7 linked regions of the Macaca mulatta genome follow. The protein of the gene in region 5 binds, or shares a complex with, the protein of the main gene of each other region. Links are inferred from orthologs where the notes say so. Each region holds a gene or a part of one and is shown on either strand. Other genes may lie near its edges. The genes, in order: PPIL2, SF3B5, RBM48, CRIPT, GPKOW, RBMX2 and ARMC7.

Region 1 (4,283 bases), on a different chromosome or scaffold from region 5:
AAAAGGATATAGTTTATTCTTTAGGCGTAGGGGTGGGTAACTTAACCAGGGAAGTTGTCTGGCATGACTATAGGTTCTATTTATAATTTGGTATCTTATTGCCACAAAGAGTCTGTTTCATCAATCTTATTTCTATTTCTTTATTTTTATTAAAAATTAGCCACCACGCTCGGCTAATTTTTTTTTTTTTTGTATTTTTAGTAGAGACGGGGTTTCACCATGTTAACCAGGATGGTCTCGATCTCCTGACCTCATGATCCACCACCTCAGCCTCCCAAAGTGCTGGGATTACAGGTGCGAGCCACCGCGCCGGGCCCCTTTATGATCTCTATTTCAACGTTAATGCCAGTCAGTTGTTGTGTCTGGGCCACAAAAGGGAGGAAGATATAACAAGGTACAGCTGACCTCCATCGCATCATGGCCAGGAACTCAGTTTTAAGGTTTTCCTGGAGTTCTCTTAGGCACAAGGGTGTCTGCTCAGCCAGTAAGGGGATTTAGGATTTTATTTTTAGCTTACAGGGAGGAGCAGGCTCAGGAGCTGAAAATCAAGAGTTCTGTTTAAGGCATATTAAATTTGAGGGCACGGTGGCTCATGCCTGTAATCCCAGCACTTTGGGAGGCAGAGGCGTGTGGATCACCCGAGGTCAGGAGTTTGATACCAGCCTGGCCAACATGGTGAAACCTGTCTCTACTAAAAATACAAAAATTAGCCGGGCATGGTGGCAGGCGCCTGTAATCTCAGCTACTGGGGAGGCGGAGGTGGGAGAATCGCTTGAATCTGGGAAGTAGAGGTTGCAGTGAGCCAAGATCGCACCATTGCACTCCAGCCTGGGCAACACAGCAAGACTCCATCTCAAAAAAAAAAAAAATTGAGGCCGGGCGCGGTGGCTCAAGCCTGTAATCCCAGCACTTTGGGAGGCCGAGACGGGCGGATCACGAGGTCAGGAGATCGAGACCACAGTGAAACCCCGTCTCTACTAAAAATACAAAAAATTAGCCGGGCGCGGTGGCGGGCGCCTGTAGTCCCAGCTACTCAGGAGGCTGAGGCAGGAGAATGGCGTGAACCCAGGAGGCGGAGCTTGCAGTGAGCCGAGATCGCGCCACTGCACTCCAGCCTGGGCAACAGCCTGAGACTCCCGTCTCAAAAAAAAAAAAAAAAAAAAAAAAAAAAAAAAAATTGAGATGTTTATCAGTCCTCCAGTGGAGATATCAAGTAAGCCACTAACTACACAAGACTGGGGAAAGCAGCTTATAGATGACTGGGAAATTATATCACTCACAGAGAATGTTTATGGAAAAGAAACCTATGAGATCTGAGAAAAGGGAGGAGGGTCCAGAAAGGAGGCTGGGAAAAGAGAGGCCGCTGAAGTCGATGGAAAACAAAGAGCACAGGAAATCTCAGATACCAAAGGAGGGCTTCAGAAGGAGGGAGTGGTTAACAGTGTGACATACTGTTGAGAACCCCAACAAAATGAGGACTGAGGCTGCCTGGCGCGGTGGCTCGCCTATAATCCCAGTACTTTGGGAGGCCAAGGCGGGCGGATCACCTGAGATCGGAGTTCGAGACCAGCCTGACCAACATGGAGAAACCCCCTTCTCTACTAAAAATACAAAATTAGCCGGGCCTGGGGGCACATGCCTGTAATCCCAGCTATTCGGGAGGCTGAAGCAGGAGAATCGCTTGAACCTGGGAAGCGGGGGTTGCGGAAAGCCGAGATCGCACCACTGCACTCCCCAGCATGGGCAACAAGAGCGAAACTCCGTCTCAAAAAAAACACGAGGACTGAGGATTGAATACTAGAGTTAGCAACAAGAAGTCGCTGGCAACCTGACAAGGGGCAGTTCTGGGATCGAAATTCTGACTTGAGTGGTTTCAAGAGACTCAGAAAACAGCATGAAGCCACGGGTCTCTAACTTGTTCTGAAATCACGGCGGCAGCAGGAGGGGAACGCGGGGCACGGGGCATAGGCGGATTTTTTTGTTTTATTTTATTTATTATTTTTGAGACAGAGTCTGGCTCTGTCGCCCAGGCTGGAGTGCAGTGACACGATCTCGGCTCACGGCAATCTCCGCCTCCCGGGTTCAAGCGATTCTCCTGCCTCAGCCTCCCGAGTAGCTAGGATTACAGGCGCCCGCCACCACGCCCCGCTAATTTTTGTGTTTTGGGTAGAGACGGGGTTTCATCATGGTGGCCAGGCTGGTCTTGAACTCCTGACCTCAGGTGATCCGCCCGCCTCAGCCTCCCAAAGTGCTGGGATTACAGGTGAGCCACCGCGCCCGGCCTGGTTTGCTTTAAATAGGAAGGCTCTGCAGCACGTGTGCAGGCTGATAGGCATGAACCAGAACACAGCCAGACGCGAAGTACGGAAGAGGGAGAGACTACAGGGGCAAAGCTCGCGAGCAGACGGGGCACGGTCCGGGCAGAACTAGAGTAAAGAAAGACCGGGCTGCGCTCGAGCCCGCAGCTGACGTCTTCGGAGCCGCGGCCCCCTGGGAGAGCGCGGCGGCCCGAGGGTCATTACCCTGACTGGAGAGACGGTGGCAGCTTCCGGGAGGAAGTGACTTTTGGGCTGGGCTCTGGGGACCAGCTGAGAGGGAAGGCGAGCGGCGAGCAGGGCGGGACAGGCGGTTTACTGAGGCAGAGCGGAGCGCCACTCCCGACTGCGACTCAACTTACATCTTGTCCTTCTGGTGCTGTCGCTTCCCCATGGCGGCGCGGCGGCGGCGGCAACTACCTAGCACGAAAAAGCAACCGCTGACCACTCAGACCATGGAGCCACGGCCGAGTTTCGTGACCACTTCCGGGTTCCGCGGCTCGCCCCGGAAACAGGCGCTTGGCGTGCTGGGAATTGTGGTTCGCTAGCGCCAGGTGCGCATGCTCGGAAGGATCGCCTGCCCAGTATGGGGTCCTAGCTAGGTGTGTTGTGTCTCGCTGGCGCCTTCTCGGGGCAGAGCTCCCTCAGCCTCGAAGCCCCATCTTCTCGAAGGGTCTCTCCCGACCGCCTCGCCTGCCCCCCTCAGCCACGGCTCAGGGCCATTCCCATACTGGGTTCTCAGGTCTTATTTTATTTTCGAGACAGGATCTCGCTCTGTCGCCCAGGTTGGAGTGCAGTGGCGCAATCACAGCTCACTACAGCCTCGACCTCCCAGGCTCAAGCGATTCTCCCACCTCAGCCTCCCGAGTAGCTACGGGCACGCGCCACCACACCCGGCTAATATGTTAATTTTTTGTAGAGACAAGCTCTTACTATTTTGCCCAGGCTGGTCTGGAGCTCTTGAGCTCAAGCAGTCCTCCCGCCTTGGCCTCCCAAAGTGCTGGGATTACAGGCCTGAGCCTCCGCGCCCGGCCAGCGCTCAGGTCTTTTTCAATGTCCTCCTAGAGCTTCAAGTCTCATGAGCCTCCACCCCATCCTTTCCCGCCTCCGTGGCCGACTCCTTCAAAGCCATGTACCACCCTCGTTCTACTCGCTCACTTCTCATTCTCTCTGCATATTCCGTCCGCACCGCCTCCAGGCCCCTTGGAGGCCCAGCAGCAGGTGGCCATCAAGCCTAGAGGTCCAAAACCCTGCCTGATCCCTTCCTTCTCTTCTGCCAGACTCTTGCCTTGGGTCAGAACAGTACCTTGGGCCCCCAACTACACTCAGGCCCGGGGTAATCTTGCCTAGGCTCCTAATTTTAAACGCCATTTATATCCCATGACTCCCAATACTAAGTCACCAGTACTCCAGGTTCCTGATCTCCACTTGGGTAGCCGCTGATCTCAAATTTAACATGTCTGGACGGACGTGGTGGCTCACACCTGTAATCCCGGCACTTGGAGAGGCTGAGGCAAGCGGATCACTTGAGGTCAGGAGTTCAAGACTAGCCTGGCCAACATTGCAAAACCCTGTCTCTACTAAAAATACAAAAATTAGCCGGGTGTGGTGGCGGGTGCCTGTAGTTCCAGCTACTCAGGAGGTTGAGGCAGTGAGAATCACTTGAACCCAGGAGGCAGAGGTTGCAGTGAGCCAAGATTGTGCCATTGTACTCCAGCCTGGGGTGACAGAACAAGACTCTGTCTCAAAGAAAAAAAAAAAACTGGAAACAAATGTCTATGAGAACACAGCTAAACGACCCCTGGTACAGCCATGCAGTGGACTATTTTGGAACTGCTTAAAGGAATGAAGTAGATATCCCAAGAAGTAAAGACATCTCAGTGTTTTATTTATGGAAAAAAGCAAGTTGCTGAGAAGAACGTGCAATGTGACTCGTACTTGGGTTAAAATTTTAATGTATGTGTGTGT
Region 2 (2,345 bases), on a different chromosome or scaffold from region 5:
TTATTACGTCTACAGTGTTTGACCTCCTTTCTCCACCACCAGCATAATGTAAGCCTCAAGAACATGGGAAAATGCCTGTCACATAGAGCTCAACAAATATTTGTTGAATATAGAAAGGATGAACTCACTTGCCAGCTTGTCATTTCTGGAGACATGGCCACAAATTCCCAAGAAAAAGAAAGGATGCATTTTAAAGAGGCTAAGGAGGACAATGACAGCAAAGACTGCAAAGACTTTTAAAACGGGAGAAAAAGAAAATGGGATACAATAACTACAAACTTCAATACTGAAGGCATTGTGGGCCTGAAAATAACGCTCTTGGGAGAAGTGGCAGTCGGGGAATTAATTATAATGGTAGACAGGGTGGATTTAAGTACCTGATCATGGACACTGGCATGCACTCCCTCCCCCGACCCATTTCCCGCTCGGGTCTTTCAGGAGCCCTCCACCCTAACACAGGAAGTTCACACCAAGAGACTTAATGATTTCTAAACTTTATGGAAAAAGCCAATGACAATCAATTAGCCAAAAATGAGACGCCAAATCCCATCTCATTCCAGCGCCACGCCCTCTTCTCAAACGCTTGCCGGCTCTAGGCCCTCTTCACCAGCACAGTTCTCAGGAGTTCTGCTGGTCTCCCAGTGCTATTCCAAAGGGTTCACATGAAGGCAGGTCAGGCGGGATTCCCCGGGCAAGCACTTCTGTACGCGGAAGTACCAGACGCAGGAGCCATGGAGAGCCGGTCCTTTGGAGGCAGAAATAGTCGAAGGGATTGGCCAACCTGAGGAACACTGGGAGAGGTGCCCCGCACAGTGGTGGTAAGGCAGAGTCTCAGTTCTCCTCGGGCTTGTCGGCTGGCGGTCCACAAGGCTGAAGCATCTTCTCCATCAAATTGAAGCGGACTCGCGCTTTGCTCTCATTCTCTGCAATGGCGAAGTAGTTGAGAAGGTCGAAGTGGCCCATGTAGGAGCAGTACGAGTCGCGGTGTTGGTTCACCAGCCACTCCCACTTGGTGGTGTCGGCGTGGCCCGTGCCGATGTACTTGGACTGCAGGTGCTCCAGCTGGCTGTGGATGGTGTAGCGGTCCGTCATCTCGCCGCTTTCCCCTTAGTTCCCAGGACAGAGGACGCAGACAACAAACCGCCGCTCTGGCGTTTCACGCGGGAGTGAGGCCACCGTGCGGAAGCTCCAGGCCCGCGCCGTCGCAGAAGAATGGCGTCACGACGACTAAGTAGCGTAAGTCTCGCTCATAGGGCTCAAAGGCGGAAGCGGAAGCACATTCTGTCACGGAATTGGAGTTGCCGAGGCGACGCCACAAGTGTGTCGCCCCTGTAGAGAGCCCCGCCCCGTCAGAGAGCGTTGCATGATGGTCCACTTGGTGGCTATGGGAAGCCCTTTTCCAACAGGGAGCCTTGCATGCTGGGACTTGTGGTCTTGGGAGTTCGTGCTCGTAGTCTTCTGGAACTCCTGGTCTCGTTTTGTTGTTTGAGACAGAGACTCGCACTGTTGCCGGGACTGCAGTGTAATGGCGCGATCTCGATTCACTGCAACTTAACGCCTCCTGGGTTCACGCGATTCTCCTGCCTCAGCCTCTCCAGTAGCTGGGATTACAGGCGCACACCACCACGCCAGGCCAATTTTTTTTTTTTTTTTTTTTTTTGTATTTTTAGTAGAGATGGGGTTTCACTGTCTTTGCCTGGCTGATCTCGAACTCCTGATTTCGTGATCCTCCCTCCTCGGTCTTCCAAAATTCTGGGATTACAGGCGTGAGCCACTGCGCCAGGCCCCTGGTCGCGTTTTAAAAGTGATCTGGGGACCTAGTGGAGGGTGATGTCTGGGAGGTGGGGAGCATCCGTGGGTGGCTTGGGGCTGATGGGAAATGGGAAACCCAAGTAGGACTGGACTACAAGCAGCCCCGAAAATAAACTCTCCGTGTTTTCCAAAGCTATCATGGTAGCACAGCCATCCCTTCACAACCAGGGATGGATTACCCAGAAGTCGGCAGGCACAAGTTCTGGTCCCAGCTATGTCTTTTAGGAGTCTGTGGCATAAAAGAGTTATTTCAGCTCTAACCAGGGTGCTTGGTGAGCAAGTACAGCACCAATTCCCACACATTCCGGCTTCCACCTCAAGCTCCTCCTTCCCCTCTAGCCACTTATTTTGATATCCTTCCTCCAAGGCCTCACTGCACCCTACTTGGCCCTTCCATTCAGTGGGTTTTGTGGATTCAACCGACCCGATTGAAAATATTTGGGGAAAAAGTCAGTCTGTACTGAAGTGTAGACTTTTTAAGGTTATTATTCCCTAAACAATACAGTATAACAACTATTTACATAGCATTTACA
Region 3 (4,004 bases), on a different chromosome or scaffold from region 5:
AGGATTTATGAAGATTTCAAATACGCCGTCCTTTTGCCCCCATAACCACACTCAAACTCGTGAGACCATGTGCCTCTATTTTTAATTACGAAAATAAGGACGCTGTATCTCCACCGGTGGTTAGAACTGCGAAACATCCCAACCACAACGTCCAGAAGGGCGACTGATCGCAGAGCTTCAAGTGATCTTAACTACGTTATGTGTTCCTGACACACTACAGCTGTGTTCCGAGGGTCTGGGACGCAGGGCAGAACCATTACTGTATTAAGCTTTCCCGCTCATGGGACGCGGTGCTCAGTCCCCGGGGACCGACAGGGGCTCCACCAACAACTCTGCGCCTCCCTCTCGCGGCCCGGACGGCAGCAGCGCAGGTAACTGGAAATGACTGGCAAGAAAAGCACCTTTTAAAATAACAAAAACAAACCACTTATCAGGAACTTTTCCAGCCTGGAATGAGGAATATTTATAAAAACAGTGGTAGAATATTAGGACATTTCTAGGCCCAGTTTCACCAAGTGAAAAGACCTGGGATAAGACGAGCCCAGGGCTGCACTGGACTTGCGGGATGCAGAGACTAACCAGAAGGGCCCTGCCGTCGAGGGACCCTAATCTCTGTACGCTTCGGGGGCGCCCGGGTGGCAGCCGGTGTCCCGCCGCGTCCCTGAGAGGCTTCGGCCTTGTCCGACCCCAGGCTGAAGATCAGGTGGCCCGGGGCCAGCACGTTACCTGCAGCAGGTGCAGCTGGGCCACGAGACCCCGCGGCAGGTGGAGGAAGCAGTCGCGAGCGTTGGTGAAGGCCACAGTCACTGCCGCCCCGCCTCCCCCAGCACCCGCCAGGCGATCGCTGCCCCACATCGTCCCGAAGCGTCGCTCTGGGTTTGCCCACCCTAGCGCCGCAAAGGACACGGGACCTGGCAGGCCGAGGACGTCGGAACCGGAGGAGATCGATCGGCCCCGCCCCCTGAGGCCCCGCCCCCTCTCCCCGCTGCGCGTCTCGCCGTAAGCCTGTAGTGGGGTGGGACAAGAAAGCTTCTGTCACCCACCGCGCCTCTCCGCCAAGCCGCTCGGGGGCGGCACCTCGTTCATCAAATCCTCGCACGCAGGAAACGATGGCCGACGCTGTCGATTCTTCAGCCAATCCTGACACTCCTTAACTCATCCCGCTCTCTTATTGGATAAAAGGGAGGTCAGCAGGGCGGATGTTGTCCTCCCTGCGAGGATCAAAGTAGGCAAGATGGCGTCCAGCGGTGGGGAGTTAGGGAGTTTATTTGACCACCACGTCCAGAGGGCGGTGTGCGACACGCGGGCCAAATATCGGGAGGGACGACGGCCTCGTGCTGTCAAGGTAAAGTGATTTTTGGTTTCATTCGCTCTCCTCGGTAGCTTTTTGTGAGCGCTAGCGCCATATGGCTAACCTACGGAAATAAAGGCACGACAAGGCTTCCGTCAGATCTGTCGCTCATTAGAGCTGGCGTGAAGAACCCTGGGCCAGGTACCAAAGATTCTCACGACCCTTTTGGTCAACTATTAGAACATCAACTCCACGAGAATAGGGCTTGGTTTTAGTCATTGGATCTTCAGTGTTTACAGTACTACTTGGCACAGGTAAGCGCTCAGTGAATATTCGTTGAGTGATTGTTCCCAGTGACTTCTGCCGACTCAATTTCTGGAAAAAAATGTCGACTGAAGGTAGTCTGTTATATGCCTTAGGTAGCCTCTCACATGGACTGTTACTCTTTATGCAGAGGGAATGGCAGAAATTTTATTTTGTGTTTTTTGCTGACTGGGTTGAACAGATTATTTCTTGTTTTCAAAGTTCTGTTTAAAAAAAAAAATAGAGGCAGATTCGTCCTAGGCTTATTTGCGAAATACGTTTAATAACTATGCATTTCTTTCAGGTATATACAATCAATTTGGAATCTCAGTACTTATTAATACAAGGAGTTCCTGCTGTGGGAGTCATGAAGGAATTAGTTGAGCGATTCGCTTTATATGGTGCAATTGAACAGTACAATGCGCTAGATGAATACCCAGCAGAAGACTTTACTGAAGTTTATCTTATTAAATTTATGAACTTACAAAGTGCAAGGTAAGGTGCAAGTTAAGCAATGACTCGTTTCATTTCCTCCATTCATATTTCTGTCATTTTGGCCCCAAGTTTCCCTCATTCATATCTGAATTACCCCAAAATGTAATCTAGCATATCTTCCTACAGCCTTTTTACAGGTTAACTTTACTGAAACACTGTATCCATCACATCCCATGCTTAACAATTTAATGTCCTGTAGCGTGGTAGAGTAAAAGTTGGGTTTGGCCAGGCACGGTGGCTTACGCCTGCAATCACAGCACTCTGGGAGGCCGAGGCAGGCGGATCACGAGGTGAGGAGTTTGAGACCAGCCTGGCCAACATGGTGAAACCCCGTCTCTACTAAAAATACAAAATTAGCCGGGTCTAGTGGCGCATACCTGTAATCCCAGCTACTCAGGAGGCTGAGGCAGGAGAATTGCTTGAACCCAGGAGGCAGAGGTTGCAGTGAGCCGAGATTGCGCCATTGCACTCCAGCCAGGGCAACAAGAGGGGATCTCCGCCTCAAAGAAAAAAAAAATGGGTTTGAGGGCTGGGCGCCAATAACTCACGCCTCACGCCTGTAATCAGAGTACTTTGGGAGACCGAGGCAGGCAGATCACTTGAGGTCAGGGGTTCAAGACCAGCCTGGCCAACATGATGGAAACCCCGGCTCTACTAAAAATACAAAAATTAGCTGGGTGTGGTGGTGCAGACCCGTAGTCCCAGCTACTCAGGTGGCTGAGGCATGGGAATCGCTTGAACCCGGGAGGTGGAGATTGCAGTGAGCAGAAATCACACCACTGCACTCCAGCCTGGATGACAGAGCGAGGCTCTGTCTCAAAAAAAAAAAAAAAAAACAGAAAAAATTTGGGTTTGGCGCCAGGCATGTGGCTCACACCTGTAATCCCAGCAGTTTGGGAGGTGGAGGTAGGCGGATCACCTGAGGTCAGGAGTTCAAGACCAGTCTGGCCAACATGGTGAAACCCTGACTCTACTAAATACAAAAATTAGCTGTGTTGGTGCAAGCCTTTAATCCCAGCTCCTGGGGAGGCTGAGGCACAAGGATCACTTGAACCCAGAAAGTAGAGGTTGCAGTGAGCCAAGATCATGCCATTGCACTCCAGCCTGGAAAGAGTGAGACTGTCCCAGAAAAAAAGAAAAGAAAAGAAAAAAAAGTTGAATTTGATCCCAGCACTATGGAAGGCCAAGGTGGGCAGACAGCTTGAGCCCAGGAGTTCGAGACCCGACTGGCCAACATGGCAAAACCTCACCTCTGCTAAAAATACAAAAATCAAGGTGGGCGTGGTAGTGCATTCCTGTAGTCCCAGCTACTTGGGAGGCTGAGGTGGGAGAATCAGTTGAGCCCAGGAGGTGGAGGTTGCAGTGAGTCATTTATGGACCACTGCACTCCATCTTGGGTGATGGAGTGAGACTATGTCTCAAAAGAAAAAAAAATGTTGGGTTTGGAGTAAGTTTTCCATTTCCACTGCTTACTAGCTTTGTGATCTTGGACAAGTTATTTAACCTGTTTAAGTTTTTCCTGTTCCGTAAAATCTATATGGTAAAGGGACCTATCTACTTCTTGAGGTTGTATGAGGATGAAATGAGATAATCCATATAAAGGGTTTAGCAGAGTGCCTCCTGGTCAGAATACAGTAAGCATTAGCTATTGTGGTTTCTACTGTTACTCCTTTCTGCAAATTGACTCAGTGTTTTCCGGCCTTCTATGTGACATAAACCCTCTGCTCCAAAAAGGCTGAAGTATGCAATGCCTTATCTATTTTTATGTTGATCTCTGTTCTCCTCACTAATCTGCTCTGAGACCCATCCTTCTCTGGCTGTTACAATTCATATTTTCTTTCATGTGCTATCAGTAGAAATCATAATCTACCACAAAAGCACTTGATTTTACTGGGTCATGTGTGGTTTTCTCAGG
Region 4 (4,056 bases), on a different chromosome or scaffold from region 5:
AAAATAGAAATATCTCAGAAAAAAAATACTATACATACACACACACACACACACACATACACGTGGGCGCGCGCGCGGGAGGGGCGCCCGCTAGTGCGAAAAGCAGAAGGGCGAACCTGGGCCTTATCCTAATAGCTCTCATTTAATTCACCCAGTGCTTTTCAAAGGCAGATATTTTACTGATAAGGAAACAAGGCAAACAGGTGAGGTGGTCCAAGGTCCCACGCGCTACAGCTCTCTCTCTAAGGAAATACACTAGGCATGAAGAAGCAAACGGATGGCAAGAAGGGACAAAGGTAAACTTTCCCATAGATTCTCTTAAGCTGATTGAGGGAGGGCAAGGGGATCAGGAATCCATTCTCTCAACAGATAGCCCTTCAGCCATTTTTCTGAGCCACCCTCGGAATCGCAGCTGCCATCAGATGTGGATGTAATACAGTGAGCAGTTACCAAACTCAACCGTTTGCTGAGTGAATGAAGGAACCAAAGTAGGCAAAGTGGGAAACCAACTCTCCTGGGAAACCAGCACCGTGTTAGGCCCTGGCGTGCCCCCAGGGCGCCTGCAGGGGTGCCACGGGCATGACGCGGCCCACCTCCCCAGGCACCGCAGCGGAGAGAAGGCTCTTCAGAGCGGCCCCCAGAGGAGCCTTCACGGGCATCGCCGCACCTCCACCGGCAGCTCCACCCCAACCCTGGTCGCTGGGAATTCTGCCCGACCCTAGGCCGGCGCGAGCGTGGGCAGCGAGGAACCAGCTGAGAAGCAGGATCAAAGAGCTCGGGAGTTGGAGACAAAGAAAAACTGGGGGACAGAGGCAAAAACTCGGATCCGAAAGGGGGTCTGTCCATCAGGGCACGCCGGAAGAGTGGCGCTCGAGCTGACGGCGAGAGCGGGCGGGCCGGGGCGCCGAGGCTCAGGGCTGCTTCGGCAATTCGCGGGGGTGGCTTGCACCCCGGGAGGCGAGAGCGCCTGGGAAGTCCAGCGGGGCTTACCTAACTTTCCCGCCCGCGGAAGGGAAGCGGGGAACTACTGCCTCCCACCATCAGGTACGACAGGAGGCCCAGGCCCACGCGCAGACGCAGGGTTGTGGGGCGGACACCCACGGCCGAACAGCCAGTCGCAGAAAGGGAGGGGCGGGCAAATGGGGCAGCCCCACCTAGCCGCTCGCGTTCATTCCTCCCGCGGCTTTCCAGGTTTGGGGTAGGCGGGAGCGGTGGGCTTAGAAGCCGGAAGTGGATTGACGTAGCCCGGAAGGGGAATACTTCCCAGTTACAGTGTTGATGTTTTCAGGCTCCTGCTGCTCCTGTTGCGGCTAGGGGAACTGTCGTGGGGAAGGATGGTGTGCGAAAAATGTGAGTTAAGGGGCTGCTTCTGCGGGAGGAGGAGGCTGGGATAATCTAACTGAGCCCTCCCGGGAACTTTGCCTTCTCTTTGTTTTTTTCGCCCACAGGTCTCTGATTCTAGCCGCTGTCTTTCTACCCTACCCTTTGACCATTTTTGCACCTCCCCAACGACCATACAGTCCTATGTATTTTGTACTCAGAATGGTCTCAGTTCTGCACCTCCCTCTCTATTTCCATTGCCTTCCCCCAGCCCCAGATCTCATCGGCTCCCCTCCCATATAAAAATGTTCAGTTAAACCCCAGCGACACCTTTCCCTCTTGGCAATTCCTGTCCTTTCCTTTTTATTCGTGTAACAAGTATTGTACTCCTGCCAAATGTTAAACACTGGAACCAAAGACTTAGGACTTTGCCTTATTCATTCTCATTAGTCATTATGCCAGGATATGGCGTAGAGTAAACCCAGAGATGTTTGAATTGAACATCAACGTAAGTGCAAATTATTATTTCCCTAATTTAAATCCTTTAATAAACTCTCAGTGTGCAGAGAATAATTTGGGGATTCTATATTTGGAACCTGACGTTCAGTACCCTCCACACTAAGGCGCCAACTTATTTTTCCAGCTTCATTTTCACTGACCCTCATCCTCTTCACACTTTGACCAAACAAAATACTCTTTGTGCCCATGTGTACTCTAAGCTTTCTATGCCTTTCCTCAGAATGTGTCCTTTATCTAGTTTGCGTTCATCCTCTTTACTCCTTTTTGTTCACAGTCCTGTTGCCACATATTCAAATCCTCTCTCTTGCCTTCTCTCCAAACTTTGTTTTCTTGGATTTCCTTAGCCAGGGTTATTTTTTCCTGCCTGGAATTTCTCCCAGTACTTTAGTTCTCAATTATTATATCTTTTATTTTTTAGCTTACATTTTGTTTGAATGGTTCTTTTTGGGGGGACGGTCTCTGATCCCTCTGAGAATCTGATGAAAACTGTAGCCTCTTGCCAGGAAAAAAAACTGAAAATATAAAAGGTTTGTGTACAACTCCACCTTGTTCACATATCTCTTAAGATCCACCTGGGGAACCCAGGTTACAGATTGCTGTTAAAGAAATTAGTATACTATAATCTCATTAAAATTTTGTCTGATTCATCACTTTTTCTCAGCACTTTGTATAGTTTATACATCATAGATGCTTAGTAAATATTTATGGAACAAATAGACTTATTGGATTTTTTAAAAGTATAAACAAACAGTGAAAGCTTATTATAAGCCATCTTATTATCCTGCGAATTTTACCGACGGTCAGTCATTCATTGCCCACAGTTAATATGAGTCTCAGTTGACTGGCTGCTTTCTCAGCATTAACAGGCTCCTATGGTAATAGCATTGATAGTCGATACCATTGTGAGCCTTAGGCACAATGTAATGCACTTATGAAATAGTAAATTTTAATTTTCCTTTTACTATCTTGTTCTAACAGGTGAAAAGAAACTTGGTACTGTTATCACTCCAGATACATGGAAAGATGGTGCTAGGAATACCACAGGTATTTCTTCTTTTAGAAAATAGGAATTTAACCAAATACTTACTGTGAATTATATTTTAGCTTTTACATTATTTGTACAATGAAATGTTGTATGTTCAAAGTATTTTATCTATTAAATGTTAAAGAATACTGGGTCCCCAAGTGATTTAATATCTTTTATTTAGTTCTCAGTTACTTGTATGGGTTCCCAATATCAGGAGATAGCAAAATTATTAAATGATTGTCAAGTGGTGACAATATCACAGTATTTGATTATCACAGTATTTGATTTGATTCAGCTTATTTAGAGTCTGTTTTTAATTTCCCCACTCTTCTGAGGAGAAATTTTTTTAAATCTTCTGATTTTTATATTCTTGAATAAATAAATGCTTTAACCCATTTTACCTTCATTATCATTAAATCTTTATAATGAAGTATTTACCTTCATTATTATTAAATACATATAGTAAAGTATGTTTTCAAAGCGTAGACAAATAAACATTTTCATTATATTGAAGGTCTATGACACTGAAGTAGTGGCTTCTAGATTTTACACTATATAGAGTAAATATAGACCCATTCCTAAAGTACTCCCTTGAGTCTGAGAAATAAAATGATTGTATTTTATACAAATTTTTACTGTTTCCCTAATAAATGTTTTCTTTTTAAGCAGTGTCTTAATAGCCTACTAAATGAGGATTTAAAAATTAGATACAGACTACTATTTTGGTAGAAAGTCAAAGAATGAACTTCTTAATGTTTTATGTTAAATGTATAGAAATAACCCACTAAAATATCTTTTATTCTGATACAGAAAGTGGTGGGAGAAAGCTGAATGAAAATAAAGCTTTGACTTCAAAAAAAGCAAGGTGGGTAAGAGCATCCATAGACAGATCATATAAATTTCCTTTCTTTTAGTATTAAGTCTGCTGGAGTGAATTTGATGTGCATCATTCCATTTGCAATAAAACATAAAGGTAGGTGGTTCATAGCACTCAGAACCAAGCTATCTGTTACAATCCTGCTGGTTTTACCTTATTCCTCCTTGGCTGTATCAATATATGAAGATATTAGTGTTATTCTCTTACAGTTTCACCAGAAAACATGACTTGTATTTTATCTCCTTCTTAATTATCCTATGAATCAGAGACAGCAGGGAAATGTGGAAAGATGGTAAGCTTTGGAGTCAAACCT
Region 5 (3,500 bases):
CTGGGCAACAGAGCAAGACTTCATCTCAAGAAAAAAAAAAAAAAAAAAGAAAACCTTGGAGTCATCCTCAATTCCCCTCTTTATTTCATGCCCCATACACTCTGCCAGCACAATCCTTCATCTTTTTTCAAAATGACACCCAGAACTGACCACTTCTCACCGCCACGAGCATCTCTCATCTGGACTATTAGAGTAATTTCCTCACTGGTCCCTCTTATGGCTCCCACCTGGCTCAGGGTCCTCTGACTCCTGCCCAGCTCTCCTGATTTGATCTCTTCCCCACCCTTCTCTGCTCTCTACTCTCACTATCTCCATTTCAGTCATGGTGACTTTTACCCCTCACACATACCAAGCCTTGTCCAGCCTCAGGGCCTTTGCTGTAACTGTGCTTTCAGCTCGGGACACTTTCTTCTCATATCCTCATGGCTCCCTCTGCTATCATTTCCTGATCTCTGCTTAAATGTCAACCCAGAGGCACTCCCTCTCCATCCCTCTGCATCTTCTTACCCTGCTTTCTTGTTCTATACGTCACCACCTGACATATCATGTTTTCTGGGTTTTATTTATAGTATGTCTCCACAACTAGATCAGAAGCTCTGCAAGGGTAGGGGTTTTTGTCTGTTTGGTTCACAGCTTCATCCCCAGTACCTAGAACAGTACTTGCCATAGACTAGGTGCTTTCTATTTGTTGAAGGACTGAACATGGAGGAGTACAGTGAGGGATGGAAAGAGGAAATCAAAACACCCTTGAGCTGATTGGAAAAGATGCGTAGCAGGTCTCCCAGTGGGTGGCAGCAAGTGCACTTCAAACAGAGGACCCAGTGTAAGCAAAGCCTGACCCTCCTTCCTCTACCTGAACCTGTAGGTGCCAGAGGAGGCTAATTATGAGGCGGTCCCCGTGGAGGCCTATGGGCTGGCCATGCTGCGGGGCATGGGCTGGAAACCTGGCGAGGGCATCGGCCGCACCTTCAATCAGTGAGTTCTGGGATAGGGGCGAGGGGACAGACAGATCAGGCTGCAATCAAGATCCCCAGGGTCACTGCCAAACCAGAACCACTCCAGGCAGGGAGGGAGGATACATTATCGCCCTAACTAATTCAGTAGCCCCTTCCACTACTGTTTTAAACTCCCATTTGCCCTTTGAAACTCTAATAGGATCCCATTTATATAAAGTCTGCCTCTAGGGACATCAATTTCTTCATCTGAAAAATGGGGGTAATAGTACTGACTTCACAGGTCTGTTGTGAGAGTTAAATGAAATTATACACATAGGCCAGGTAGTGGCTCATGCCTGTAATCCCAGCATTTTGGGAGACTGAGGCAGGAGGATCACTTAACCCCAGGAGTTTGAGACTGGCCTGGGCAACATAGGGAGGCCCCATCTCTACAAAAGATTAATTCATTTTAAGAAAAGAAATTAGGCCGGGCGCGGTGGATCAAGCCTGTAATCCCAGCACTTTGGGAGGCCGACAAGGGCGGATCACGAGGTCAGGAGATTGAGACCATCCTGGCTAACAGGGTGAAACCCCGTCTCTACTAAAAAATACAAAAAACTAGCCGGGCAAGGTGGCGGGCGCCTGTAGTCCCAGCTACTCCGGAGGCTGAGGCAGGAGAATGGCGTAAACCCGGGAGGCGGAGCTTGCAGTGAGCTGAGATCCGGCCACTGCTCTCCAGCCTGGGCTACAGAGCGAGACTCCGTCTCAAAAAAAAAAAGAAAGAAATTAGAGCCAGGCGCAGTGCCTTGTGCCTGTAATCCCAGCACTTTGGGAGGCTGAGGCGGGTGGATCACAAGGTCTGGAGATCAAGACCATCCTGGCTAACACGGTGAAAGCCCATCTCTACTAAAAAAAAAATACAAAAAATTAGCCGGGCATGGTGGCGGGCGCCTGTAGTCCCAGCTACTCAGGAGGCTGAGGCAGGAGAATGGCGTGAACCCAGGAGGTGGAGCTTGTAGTGAACCGAAATCGCACCACTGCACTCCAGCCTGGGCGACAGAGTGACACGCCATCTCAAAAAAAAAAAAACAAAAAAGATAAACTATATACGTAAAGCACATACAGTAGGCCCTGACCCCAAGAAAGCGTAGACTAAACATTTGCTATTGTCATGCAGACTTACAACCCTTTCTTCGCAATTGCAAACTCAAGAATTGTGAAAACCAAACATTTTTTTCATAACCCATTGGCAGCCAACTATGACCTGAATTGGCGTTGAGTTTTTTTTTTTTTTTTTTTTTGAGATGGAGTCTCTGTCTGTCACCCAGGCTGGGATGCAGTGGTGCAGTCTCAGCTCGCTGCAACCTCTACCTCCTGAGTTCAAGTGATTCTCCTGCCTCAGCCTCCTGAGTAGCTGAGATTACAGGAATGCACCAGCACGCCTGGTTAATTTTTGTATGTTTAGAAGAGATGAGGTTTCCCCATGTTGGCCAGGCTGGTCTTGAACTCCTGACCTTAGGTGATCTGCCAACCTCAGTCTCCCAAAGTGCTGGGATTACAGGCATGAGCCACCGTGCCCAACCATGTTGAGTTTTTATAGTCCGTTTCTCCTGCTTGGTGTGAATATTCATATGATTTCCCCTGTAGAAATAGTATATTTGGTTACAGTGATCTGCCTCTGATCTCACTGTAGATATTATGTAATAGATGGTATATGCAGCATGTTATTAGGTCGAACCAAATGAAATTGCTGTTTCTGTAGGTCAAAAACAGTCCTAATATGAGATCGGAAAGGGCAACCTTGAAAATACCGATGGGGGCCAGACATGGTGACTCACACCTGTAATCCTAGCACTATGGGAGGCCAAAGAGGGCGGATCAGCTGAGGTCAGGAGTTCGAGACCAGCCTGACCAACATGGTGAAACCCTGTCTCTACTAAAAATACAAAATTAGCCAGGCATGGTGGCATGCTCCTGTAAACCCCAGCAACTTGGGAGGCTGAGGCAGGAGAGTCGCTTGAACCCAGGAGGCGGAGGTTGCATTGAGCCGAGATTGAGCCATTGTACTCCACCCTGGATGGCAAGAGCAAAACTCCGTCTCCAAAAAAAAAAAAGAAAAGAAAAGAAAATGTCAATGGTGGGGGTGGGGGTTTGGGCAGGGAGAGGAGGTAAATAAGGTGTTGAAGACTATTGCATCCTCTCCAACAAACCCATGTTCTCCCTGCAGAGTAGTGAAGCCCCGTGTCAACTCACTGAGGCCCAAGGGGTTAGGGCTGGGTGCCAACCTGTCTGAGGCCCAGGCCTTGACCCCCACCGGCCCCTCCCACATGCCAAGGCCAGATGAGGAGCAAGAGAAGGATAAGGAAGATCAGCCTCAAGGGCTGGTGCCAGGAGGAGCTGTGGTGGTTCTTTCTGGCCCTCACCGAGGCCTCTATGGGAAGGTAAGGAACCAAGATATCCCGGGAGCCCAAAACAGGCAGTAGGGAAGGTTGATCCGAGGGTCAGATGGAGGAATAATTGGGTTTGAGGTAGAAAGGCTGGGAGTCCTAGTCTTTTAGGTCTGCT
Region 6 (4,297 bases), about 88 Mb from region 5:
TGCTGCCCCATAAGTGGCCCAACCACTCAGCCAGGGCCCTCTGTCCATGGATGGCCCTACCATCCTGCCATAGCAATCCCTCTGCCAGTGTATGCTACCTGTGTTTGCTTGGCCAGCCCCTTTTGCCATGGTCTGCTACCTGTACATGCTGTCCAACTTCTCTGAAACAGTACTATGCTCTGAAGGCCTACAAAACCCAAATGTAGTGGTCCTTTGCACCTGTGCCAAGATCCTCTGGCCCTGTGGACTAACTGTGCTGTTTACCTCTGGGGTTGCAGGCCAGCTGCCCAGCCCCTCTCCTACTAGCTGCTACTACCAGTATGAGCCACCAACACCCTCTCCCACCAAATGCTGCTGCCAACACCTCAGCAGAATGAAGAATATACAGATCTCCTATTCATTCTTGTTCCTCGTCAGGCTGTGATTCTCAGCCTCCAGGTAGAGATTGGCTTTGCTCACTAACCTTACATTCATTGAGAATCAAAGAAAGCAAACTACAACCTTCTTTCTGTTTTTCATCCCAATTCCTCTGTGGTTTGCCCCAGTCGTATGATGCCACACAGGCAAGGACCAGAAGGGCCCTGTGACCATGGGTTACCCCTAGTTTGCAAGAGCCCAAGGAGGCGTACCAATATGGAACCTTCCTGAGGGTTCCAGTCTGTTCCAGTCTAGGCCCAGGCTGAACAAACCTCAGTGAAAAACAACAGAAATAGACTAGAATCCCCAAGATGGCCTCCCAAATTAACAAACCTCTTGGATCTCCCACAGGAGAACATTCTAGAACCATGTCCTGGGACTGATCTAGACTAGAGCAGAAGCTCCAGCCCTCCCCATGCAGGGACGCCATTCAGCCTAGAGTGAAAATAAGTGGTTTTTGTGATGCCACAAAATGCATTACAGAAAAAAGTACTCTGTCGACTCAGGAGGCAGGAAATGAAAGGGGACTTACTGTGAGAACACACAGATGATGTCCCCTTCAGTCAGTTCATAAGGAAGCCCTCCTAGAAAAGAAAACCACATTTCAGTTCCACCAACATTTACCAAGTGTTTACTACGTACCATGCACTAGGCCAGGCACTAGGGGTGCAAACAGTAAGCAACAGGCCCTGCCCTTAAAGAAATCAAGTCTGGGCTGGGCACCATGGCTCACGCCTGTAATCCCAGCACTTTGGGAGGCCAAGGCGGGTGGATCACCTGAGGTCAGGAGTTCGAGACCAGCCTGGTCAACATGGCGAAACCCCGTCTCTACTAAAACTACAAAAAAAATTAGCCGGGCGAGGTGGCGGGCACCTGTAATCCCAGCTACTCAGGAGGCTTAAGCAGGAGACTCGCTTGAACCCAGGAGGCAGAGGTTGTAGTGAGCCGAGATCACGTCACTGCACTCCAGCCTGGACAACAAGAGTGAAACTCCAACTCAAAAAAAAAAAAAAAAAAAGAAAGAAAGAAATCAAGTCTGATGCAATGACAGAAGTACATGTAAGGTGCCAGTAGAACAGGAAAAGGAGTGACTAATTTTGAGTGGAAGTCAGTGTCACCACTAACAAAAGTAAACTGATCACTCAGTCCTCCTGGCACCCAAAATCCTATGGGCAAAGCAGATAGTTTCCATCACAAACCTCTGCTTCCACAAACATGTTGAATTCATCTGCTCATTACCCACAAATTTACAGCTATGATACAAAATTAGTCTACATATGTCATGATTAACCCCACCTACACATAGACAAAGGTTATAAAGACACTGTTAAGCATTTCCTAGGGAATAATTTCCCTTCCAAATGTTTCTTTCCTCATCTGTAAGATGGGGATATTAGCAGGTAACTCGCAAGACTGTTATAAGAGTTAAATAAAACGATGCATATAAAGTGCTTAGCACAACGTTTTTACAATAACCTCTTTGAAGCATCAAACTTGTACAATTACTGGTTGTGATATAAAGTGAATACAGTAATGGTAGTGTGGCCATGGTCAGAAAGCAGGAGCTAGAGGAGCAAAGTGAATTCTGCAAGGGAAGGGGAATGGGGGAGGGCGGTGGTAGCAATATGGGGCTGTGGCTAAGACCATGAGTTCTAGAAAGCTATAGTTCTGCCTGTTGCGGTTATTAGCTATGTGACCTTAAGGAAGTCCCTTAACTTCTCTGCACCCCAATTTCCTCAGCTGTAATAACGGGTCAGGGGGTGAGAGAGAAATAACAACAGTCCCTGAACCTTAGCACAGCAAATGGCAAACAGTAACTCTCATGAGCACTGATTTGGCTGGGAAGGAAAACTAAAAATGGGGCAGAAAAAAAAAAAAAAAAAAAAAAGATGGAACACGGATTCCCGGGCAGACAGCAGATGGATATAAAGGAGGGCAATGAATGTAAGCAGGAGTGAAGGGTGAAAATGCTGAAATAGTCGGACACCGAGCAGGAGAATCTTGGGAGCACTGCGGAAGAAAGATGTGCACCTCACCCAGGAAGATCCAGGCGCTGTCCTTGTACTCGGAGTGCCAGGACACTTTATCGGCCACCCCAAGCTGGACCTCTCGTTCATTCAGCTCGTTGATCAGCTTCACCTTAGTTAAAGGACTTCACGGTGGCGGGGGGGAGGGGAGGCAGAAAAGCAGACAAGTAAATGCTAACCGGCCGAAGCTGAAGAAGAGCAAAACAAGGGGACGAGCTGTGCTAGTCCCCGCGCCTCTCCCGCCCCTCGACCCCGCAGACGCTCTACCACCCCAGCCCCGGTAGACCACCCTCAGCGGCCCGCTGCTCGTTCCTCAAAAGGAAGCTGACGCCTTACTTCATCTCCGCGGGCTCGCGCTCAGCATTCAGGAATCAGCGCCCGGGAAAGGCAGCGCCACGCATGCGCGGCCCCGGCGCCGGTGGCTCGTCGAGTCGGTGACCTCGCGCCGGAAGAGCTGGGGCGTACCGGGGCGTGGCGCCTGCGCACTAGAAGCCTTCCGCGTTCTTTGCAGTTACCTCTTGTAGAAACGGTTTTTCTCTAATTTTTCGCTTTTTCTCCTCTGTGAAATGGGGTAAAGGCACGAGCCTGGGCTGTTGCAGGACCCCCAGCTCTTGAACGATATCGGAAACTGGTTAGATTAGCTATAAATATTTGCTGAATGAACGGAATAAGCAGCCTGATGTGGCGACTTTAGTCTCAGCCCTCGCTCCCAGTCCAGAGTCCCACTTGGACCTTCGCTCCTAGTCAGTTGCTCACGCACAGACCCATCAAAGCATCCCTGTCATGGCAGAAAAGTGAAGAAGATAGGTGAAAAGGTAAATCTTCTGTTGTTCTTATCCCAATACATAGGCAACAGACCAGTGTGCCTCTATAGGCTGAATTGAATACCTACAGATTTGCATGAGAGCCGCTGCACTTACTCTTTTCCATAGGCTCTCTCCTAGTTGAGCAGGAGACAGAAATTAATATTGTTAAATTAATAGCTAGCAAGTGAGCAGATGATGTACTGTATGATACTAGAGTATGTGCTAAGCAATTTACATGTATTGTCTCTCCACCCTCACAACAACCCAATGAAGCAGATAAAATTACAATTCCTGGCCGGGCGCAGCAGCTCATGCCTGTAATCCCAGCACTTTGGGAAGCTGAGGTAGGAGGATTGCTTGAACTCAGGAGTTTGAGACCAGCCTGGGCAACATAGCAGAACCTGTCTCTAAAATAAAGGAAAAAGGGGGGGGCCAGGTGTGGTGGCTCACACCTGTCATCCCAACACTTTGGGAGGCTAAGGCAGGTGGATCACCTGAGGTCAGGAGTTCAAGACCTACCCAGCCAACATGGTGAAACTCTGTCTCCTCTAAAAATACAAAAATTAGCTAGGCATGGTGGCACACGCCTGTAATCCCAGCTACTCGGGAGGCTGGGGCAGGAGAATCACTTGAACCTGGGAGGCAAAGGTTGCAGTGAGCTGAGATCGCACCACTGCACTCCACCCTGGGCAGCAGAGCGAGACTCCTTGTTTTAAAAAAAAAAGAAAGAGAAAGTAAAAGAAATTTCCACCCTCGTTTTGTAGAGGAAGAAATGAGGCTCAAATGAATAAATTAACTAGAAAGGTACTAGAGTACCTGCACCCAGTAGGTCAGGTTGATTCAATCAGTCCTTACTGAACATCTAGATTTGTCCTGTGCAGCTAAGGTCTGTAGACAGGAGTATCAGGGTGGGTCCTCTGCCCTCAAGGAGCTAATATTATAATTAAGGGGACAAGATATATTTGCCTGATAGATTTCAACCAGAAATATCTAGAAACCAGTGGAAGAGATGATTAACATATAATATGTGATTTAACCCATATTGAC
Region 7 (4,067 bases), on a different chromosome or scaffold from region 5:
CCAGCCTGGGCGACAGAGCGAACTCCGTCTCAAAAAATAAATAAATAAATAAATAAATAAAATAAAATAAAATAAAATGTGTTACTTGATCCTATCAAGACTTTCAACCCAATTTCTAGATTATAGGAAATAAAGGGGATAAAGAAACAAACCACAAAGAGGCAATGAGACAAACCGGAAGGGGGAACATTTGCATTCCTGGTTGGGGCCTTCAAGAATCAGTGTTATGAAATGAGGGTCTGTTTAGGGTTACAAGCGATTTATCTCTTGGGGCCAGGAGTTCAAGACCAGTCTGGGCAAGACGGTGAGACCGTGTGTCGACAACAAATTAAAAAAAAAAAAAAAAAAAGCCGAGTTCGAGACCAGTCTGGGCAACACAGTGAGATCCTCTCGAAAACAAATTAAAAACAAAAAAAAGCCGGGCATGGTGGTGTCCACCTGTAGTCACAGCTACTCGGGAGGCTAAGGCAGGAAGACTGCTAGAGCCCAGAAGTTTAAATTTATGGTGAACTATGATCACACCACTGTACTCCAGCCTAAGTGACACAGTGAGACCCTATCTCAAAAAAAAGAAAAAGATTTAAGATAATTTATGTAGTGACTTCCTTCCAATGGGTATAATACATAATACGTAAAGAGGGGAAAGAAAGAGTAATTTTACAGTGGAGAAGCCTGACAAGACTTCAGCCAGGTGATCACGCGCGTGTTGCCCAGGCTGGAGTGCGGTGGCTATTTACAGGTGCAATCATGCAATCGTAGCACACTACAGCCTCAAACTCCTGGGCTCAAGCGATCCTCCTATCTGGGGCTACAGATGAGCACTGTGCATGGCTTGAAAAAGGGATTTTTGTTTGTTCTCAAAATTTTGTCTGCTTCAAACTATTTCCCACGGCCTAGATCTAAGCTCCGGCAAGCTCTGGTGCTGCTTAACTCTCTATCCTCTTTTTGTGCCATTCTCCACTTCACTATAACGATCCTGCCACATTCATCTTCCTTCTGGCTCCTTCCTGTTTTAAGGCCTTTGCCCATGCTGTGTCCCTGCTAAAATGCCTTTCTCATGATGGCCAAAACAGAAGTAACCACCACCTTCTACTGCTGTTTCTCATCACCCCATTTATTTGCTGCTGAGCATCATCTTTTTTGTTTGCTAACCACCTGTCCCCCCTACTAGAATGTAAGCTCCTGAGGGGCAAACACTTCCCCTAACTTGTTCACCATACTCCAGCATTTAGAGCAGTAGTTTACATATACGGTACATGCCCAGTAAATATCTGCCCAGTGAATAAATCAATAGGTCTTAAGATCATAACTACAAAAGAAGCCGTAAGTTACAGACTGCAAGCCATCTCTGCTTCTCCTGATATGAAAACACTAAATATGAGTTACTTTTGTTTCTAAGACAGATTCTCGTTCTGTCACCCAGGCTGGAGTACAGTGGCCCAATCCCAGCTCACTGCAGCCTCGTCCTCCAGGCTCAAGCAATCCTCCCACCTCAGCCTCCTGAGTAGCTGGGACACCACGCCAGACTAATTTTTTTTTTTTTTTTTTTTTTTTTAGCAGAGATGGGCTTTTGCCAGGCCGGTCTTGAACTCCGGGACTCAAGTGATCTGCCTGCTTCGGCCGCCCAAAGTGCTGACATTACAGGTGTGAGCCACCTCACCCACCTGAAATTGTTGTTGTTTTTTTTTTTGAGACGGAGTCTCGCTGTTGCCCAGGCTGGGGTGCAGTGGCGCCATCTCGGCTCACAGCAACCTCTGCCTACCGGGTTCAAGTGATTCTCCTGCCTCAGCCTCCCGAGTAGCTGGGATTACAGGCGCCCGCCACGCCCGGCTAATTTTTGTATTTTTAGTTAGAGACGGGGTTTCATCATGTTGGCCAGACTGGTCTCGAACTCCTGATCTCAGGTGATCCGCCTGCCTCGGGCTCCCAAAGTGCTGGGATTACAGGCGTGTGCCACCGCGCCTGGCTACAAAACTGCTCTTTTTAAAACATCTTTTTTTGAGACATGGTCTCACTCCGTCGCCCAGGCTGGAGTGCAGTGGCGCAGTCTCAGCTCACTTTGGCCTCTGCCTCCCGGACTCAAGCAATCCTCCTGCTTCGGCCTCCAGAGTAGCTGGGCCTACAGGTGCACACCACTGTGTGCGGCTAATTTTTGCTCCCGCTTAGCTGGGATTACAGGCACTCGCCACCATGCCCAGCTAATTTTTGTACTTTTAGTAGAGACGAGGTTTTGCCATGTTGGCCAGGCTGGTCTCGAACTCCTGACCTCAGGTGATCCCCCCGCCTCGGCTTCCCAAAGTGCTGGGATTACATGTGTGAGCCACCACGCCAGGCCCCAAGGACTCACTTGTAACTCACTTACCTCACCCCGGCCCATTTAGCCATCTAGCGAACGGGCCCAGCCCTTACCAATAGCAAACTCCACCAGGGTCTCGTTCTCCTCCGACAGCGAATCGAGAAATAAATCCAGGACCTGCAGCTGCCGCAGATACTCGTAGTTGCTGGGGTCATAAGCGAAGTTGGCGAGGTTGGCGAGGACTTGCTCCTTGGCGTCTGCAACGGGAAAGCGGCACTGGAGCCAGGTCCGGGCGGCGGTCACAGCCGACCCTGTCACCTGGTCCCACCGTGGCTCTCACCTTGGCTCTGGGTCTCCTGGAATTCCGTGACCAGCGCCTGCAGGTATCCCAAACGCCCGACGTGGGGGTCCAACTTCGGCTTCTGGGCCATGGCCGGCGTGACGGAGGACCCCCAGGGACGGGCGGGCGGGTGGGAAAGGTGCAGGGGGAAAGCCGAGCGAGACCCTCACCCACTCTCCACCTGTCTGGCGAGGGAAGACGCGGGGACGGCAAACGGGTTTCTTTCTTGGGTTCAGACTCTGCAGTAATTTGCAGCTGGAAATGGAATGTGGGGAGATGGGCCGGGGTCTCAGAATCCTGTAGGAGTTGGGTCTGAAAATCGAAATTGGGGCGCGGGAGACAGGGAACCGTCTGCGGGCTGGGGCTGGCGGAGTGGGTACTGGCGCCCAGCCCCCGGCTGCCGGGCTCGGTTCCAGGCTCCCGGCGGAAGCCGCGCTGTCCCCACCCTACAAGGCGCGGAAGGGGCGGGACGAGGCAGGCGAAGGGCGGGGCCGTCGCCGAACTCCTTGGCGCGCGTGCGCGGCGCGCTTTCGGTTTTCTGGCTGCGGAAGCTCTTTAGCCTGCGCTGGAACCCGCTGCGACACGCTTCGCCGAGGGAGGTATGGGCGTGGGTGGGTGTACTGCGAGGAGCAGCCTTGTCTCCCATATCCTATGTCCAGCTGCAAATTATTGCAAAATCTGAACGCAAGAAAGAAACCCACTTGCCGCCCCCGCCAACAGGAAGGCGGGTGAGGGCCTCTCTCGGCTTTCCCGCCCCACCTTTCCCACTCTCCCGCCCGGCCCCCCGGGTCCTCCGCCGCCCCGACGTGGCCCAGAAGCCGAAAGTGAGGCACCCATGTCGGGCGGCTGGAATGACGTGAGGAGCAACTCAGGAGCGCAACGGAGTCTGGCAGCACCCATGTTGGGAGGACGTCGAGGCAGAAGCACCTCCAGGATCCCCATGGCTGGCGGGGCGCCCCTTTAGAGCGCGGGCGTCAGCTCCTTACCCACCCCCATCAGTCTTTTGACCCTTTTGCAAAAAGCGTAGCGACCCCGACCCGTCCTCTATCCCAGCCCCGAGGTGAGTCCGCCACCTCTGGACAGAAATCAAAGGGGACGGGGTCATGTCCTGGTGCTTTTTGTCAGCCGGGTGGATGGCGCGCGCCCGGGGCAGCACCGGGGAGCCGGAGGAAGAGCCTTGTTTGTGGCGCTTTCGGGGCTTTCTGGATGCTGAAGCCCTTCGGCCGATTCCTTCTCGAGGATTCTCGGGAAGCAGGTGTGTGATGGATTACTACTCGTGGTTACAGGGAACAAAGCACCAGGGAAGGAGGTGGCCTTACTACACTCCCATCGCGTTTGACAACGTAGGGGTAGAGAGGTGGCTTAGGCTGTGAGTGTCCTGAGAATGCAAAAGTTGTTAATCTAATTGGAGTCACTTGTGTTAAAAAAACA

The links.
Region 1: GPKOW (region 5) and PPIL2 share a complex: the UniProt entries of both Homo sapiens proteins name them as parts of the minor spliceosome. The link is inferred for Macaca mulatta from reciprocal best matches to the Homo sapiens genes GPKOW and PPIL2.
Region 2: GPKOW (region 5) and SF3B5 share a complex: the UniProt entries of both Homo sapiens proteins name them as parts of the minor spliceosome. The link is inferred for Macaca mulatta from reciprocal best matches to the Homo sapiens genes GPKOW and SF3B5.
Region 3: GPKOW (region 5) and RBM48 share a complex: the UniProt entries of both Homo sapiens proteins name them as parts of the minor spliceosome. The link is inferred for Macaca mulatta from reciprocal best matches to the Homo sapiens genes GPKOW and RBM48.
Region 4: GPKOW (region 5) and CRIPT share a complex: the UniProt entries of both Homo sapiens proteins name them as parts of the minor spliceosome. The link is inferred for Macaca mulatta from reciprocal best matches to the Homo sapiens genes GPKOW and CRIPT.
Region 6: GPKOW (region 5) and RBMX2 share a complex: the UniProt entries of both Homo sapiens proteins name them as parts of the minor spliceosome. The link is inferred for Macaca mulatta from reciprocal best matches to the Homo sapiens genes GPKOW and RBMX2.
Region 7: GPKOW (region 5) and ARMC7 share a complex: the UniProt entries of both Homo sapiens proteins name them as parts of the minor spliceosome. The link is inferred for Macaca mulatta from reciprocal best matches to the Homo sapiens genes GPKOW and ARMC7.

The regions. Positions count from the first base shown.
Region 1 is NC_133415.1:31,327,311-31,331,593, forward strand, and holds the start of PPIL2 (RING-type E3 ubiquitin-protein ligase PPIL2), read right to left. Parts: upstream 2,801-4,283; 5' UTR 2,710-2,800; coding exon 2,678-2,709; exon of another isoform or gene 2,635-2,677; intron 1-2,634. UniProt on the Homo sapiens protein: Has a ubiquitin-protein ligase activity acting as an E3 ubiquitin protein ligase or as an ubiquitin-ubiquitin ligase promoting elongation of ubiquitin chains on substrates.
Region 2 is NC_133409.1:49,348,244-49,350,588, forward strand, and holds SF3B5 (splicing factor 3B subunit 5), read right to left. Parts: upstream 1,194-2,345; 5' UTR 1,093-1,193; coding exon 832-1,092; 3' UTR 501-831; downstream 1-500. UniProt on the Homo sapiens protein: Component of the 17S U2 SnRNP complex of the spliceosome, a large ribonucleoprotein complex that removes introns from transcribed pre-mRNAs.
Region 3 is NC_133408.1:126,862,844-126,866,847, reverse strand, and holds the start of RBM48 (RNA-binding protein 48), read left to right. Parts: upstream 1-1,204; 5' UTR 1,205-1,234; coding exon 1,235-1,345; intron 1,346-1,898; coding exon 1,899-2,089; intron 2,090-4,004. Other genes in the region: peroxisomal ATPase PEX1, read right to left, coding at 727-855. UniProt on the Homo sapiens protein: As a component of the minor spliceosome, involved in the splicing of U12-type introns in pre-mRNAs.
Region 4 is NC_133418.1:78,216,525-78,220,580, reverse strand, and holds the start of CRIPT (cysteine-rich PDZ-binding protein), read left to right. Parts: upstream 1-1,256; 5' UTR 1,257-1,334; coding exon 1,335-1,350; intron 1,351-2,817; coding exon 2,818-2,883; intron 2,884-3,676; coding exon 3,677-3,731; intron 3,732-4,056. UniProt on the Homo sapiens protein: As a component of the minor spliceosome, involved in the splicing of U12-type introns in pre-mRNAs. Involved in the cytoskeletal anchoring of DLG4 in excitatory synapses.
Region 5 is NC_133426.1:49,201,149-49,204,648, reverse strand, and holds part of GPKOW (G-patch domain and KOW motifs-containing protein), read left to right. Parts: intron 1-865; coding exon 866-975; intron 976-3,162; coding exon 3,163-3,376; intron 3,377-3,500. UniProt on the Homo sapiens protein: RNA-binding protein involved in pre-mRNA splicing. As a component of the minor spliceosome, involved in the splicing of U12-type introns in pre-mRNAs.
Region 6 is NC_133426.1:136,863,367-136,867,663, reverse strand, and holds the start of RBMX2 (RNA-binding motif protein, X-linked 2), read right to left. Parts: upstream 2,801-4,297; 5' UTR 2,786-2,800; coding exon 2,781-2,785; intron 2,570-2,780; coding exon 2,454-2,569; intron 1,002-2,453; coding exon 950-1,001; intron 1-949. UniProt on the Homo sapiens protein: Involved in pre-mRNA splicing as component of the activated spliceosome. As a component of the minor spliceosome, involved in the splicing of U12-type introns in pre-mRNAs.
Region 7 is NC_133421.1:84,791,365-84,795,431, reverse strand, and holds the start of ARMC7 (armadillo repeat-containing protein 7), read right to left. Parts: upstream 2,801-4,067; 5' UTR 2,728-2,800; coding exon 2,637-2,727; intron 2,554-2,636; coding exon 2,410-2,553; coding exon of another isoform or gene 2,378-2,409; exon of another isoform or gene 2,006-2,377; intron 1,705-2,005; exon of another isoform or gene 1,671-1,704; intron 1-1,670. UniProt on the Homo sapiens protein: As a component of the minor spliceosome, involved in the splicing of U12-type introns in pre-mRNAs.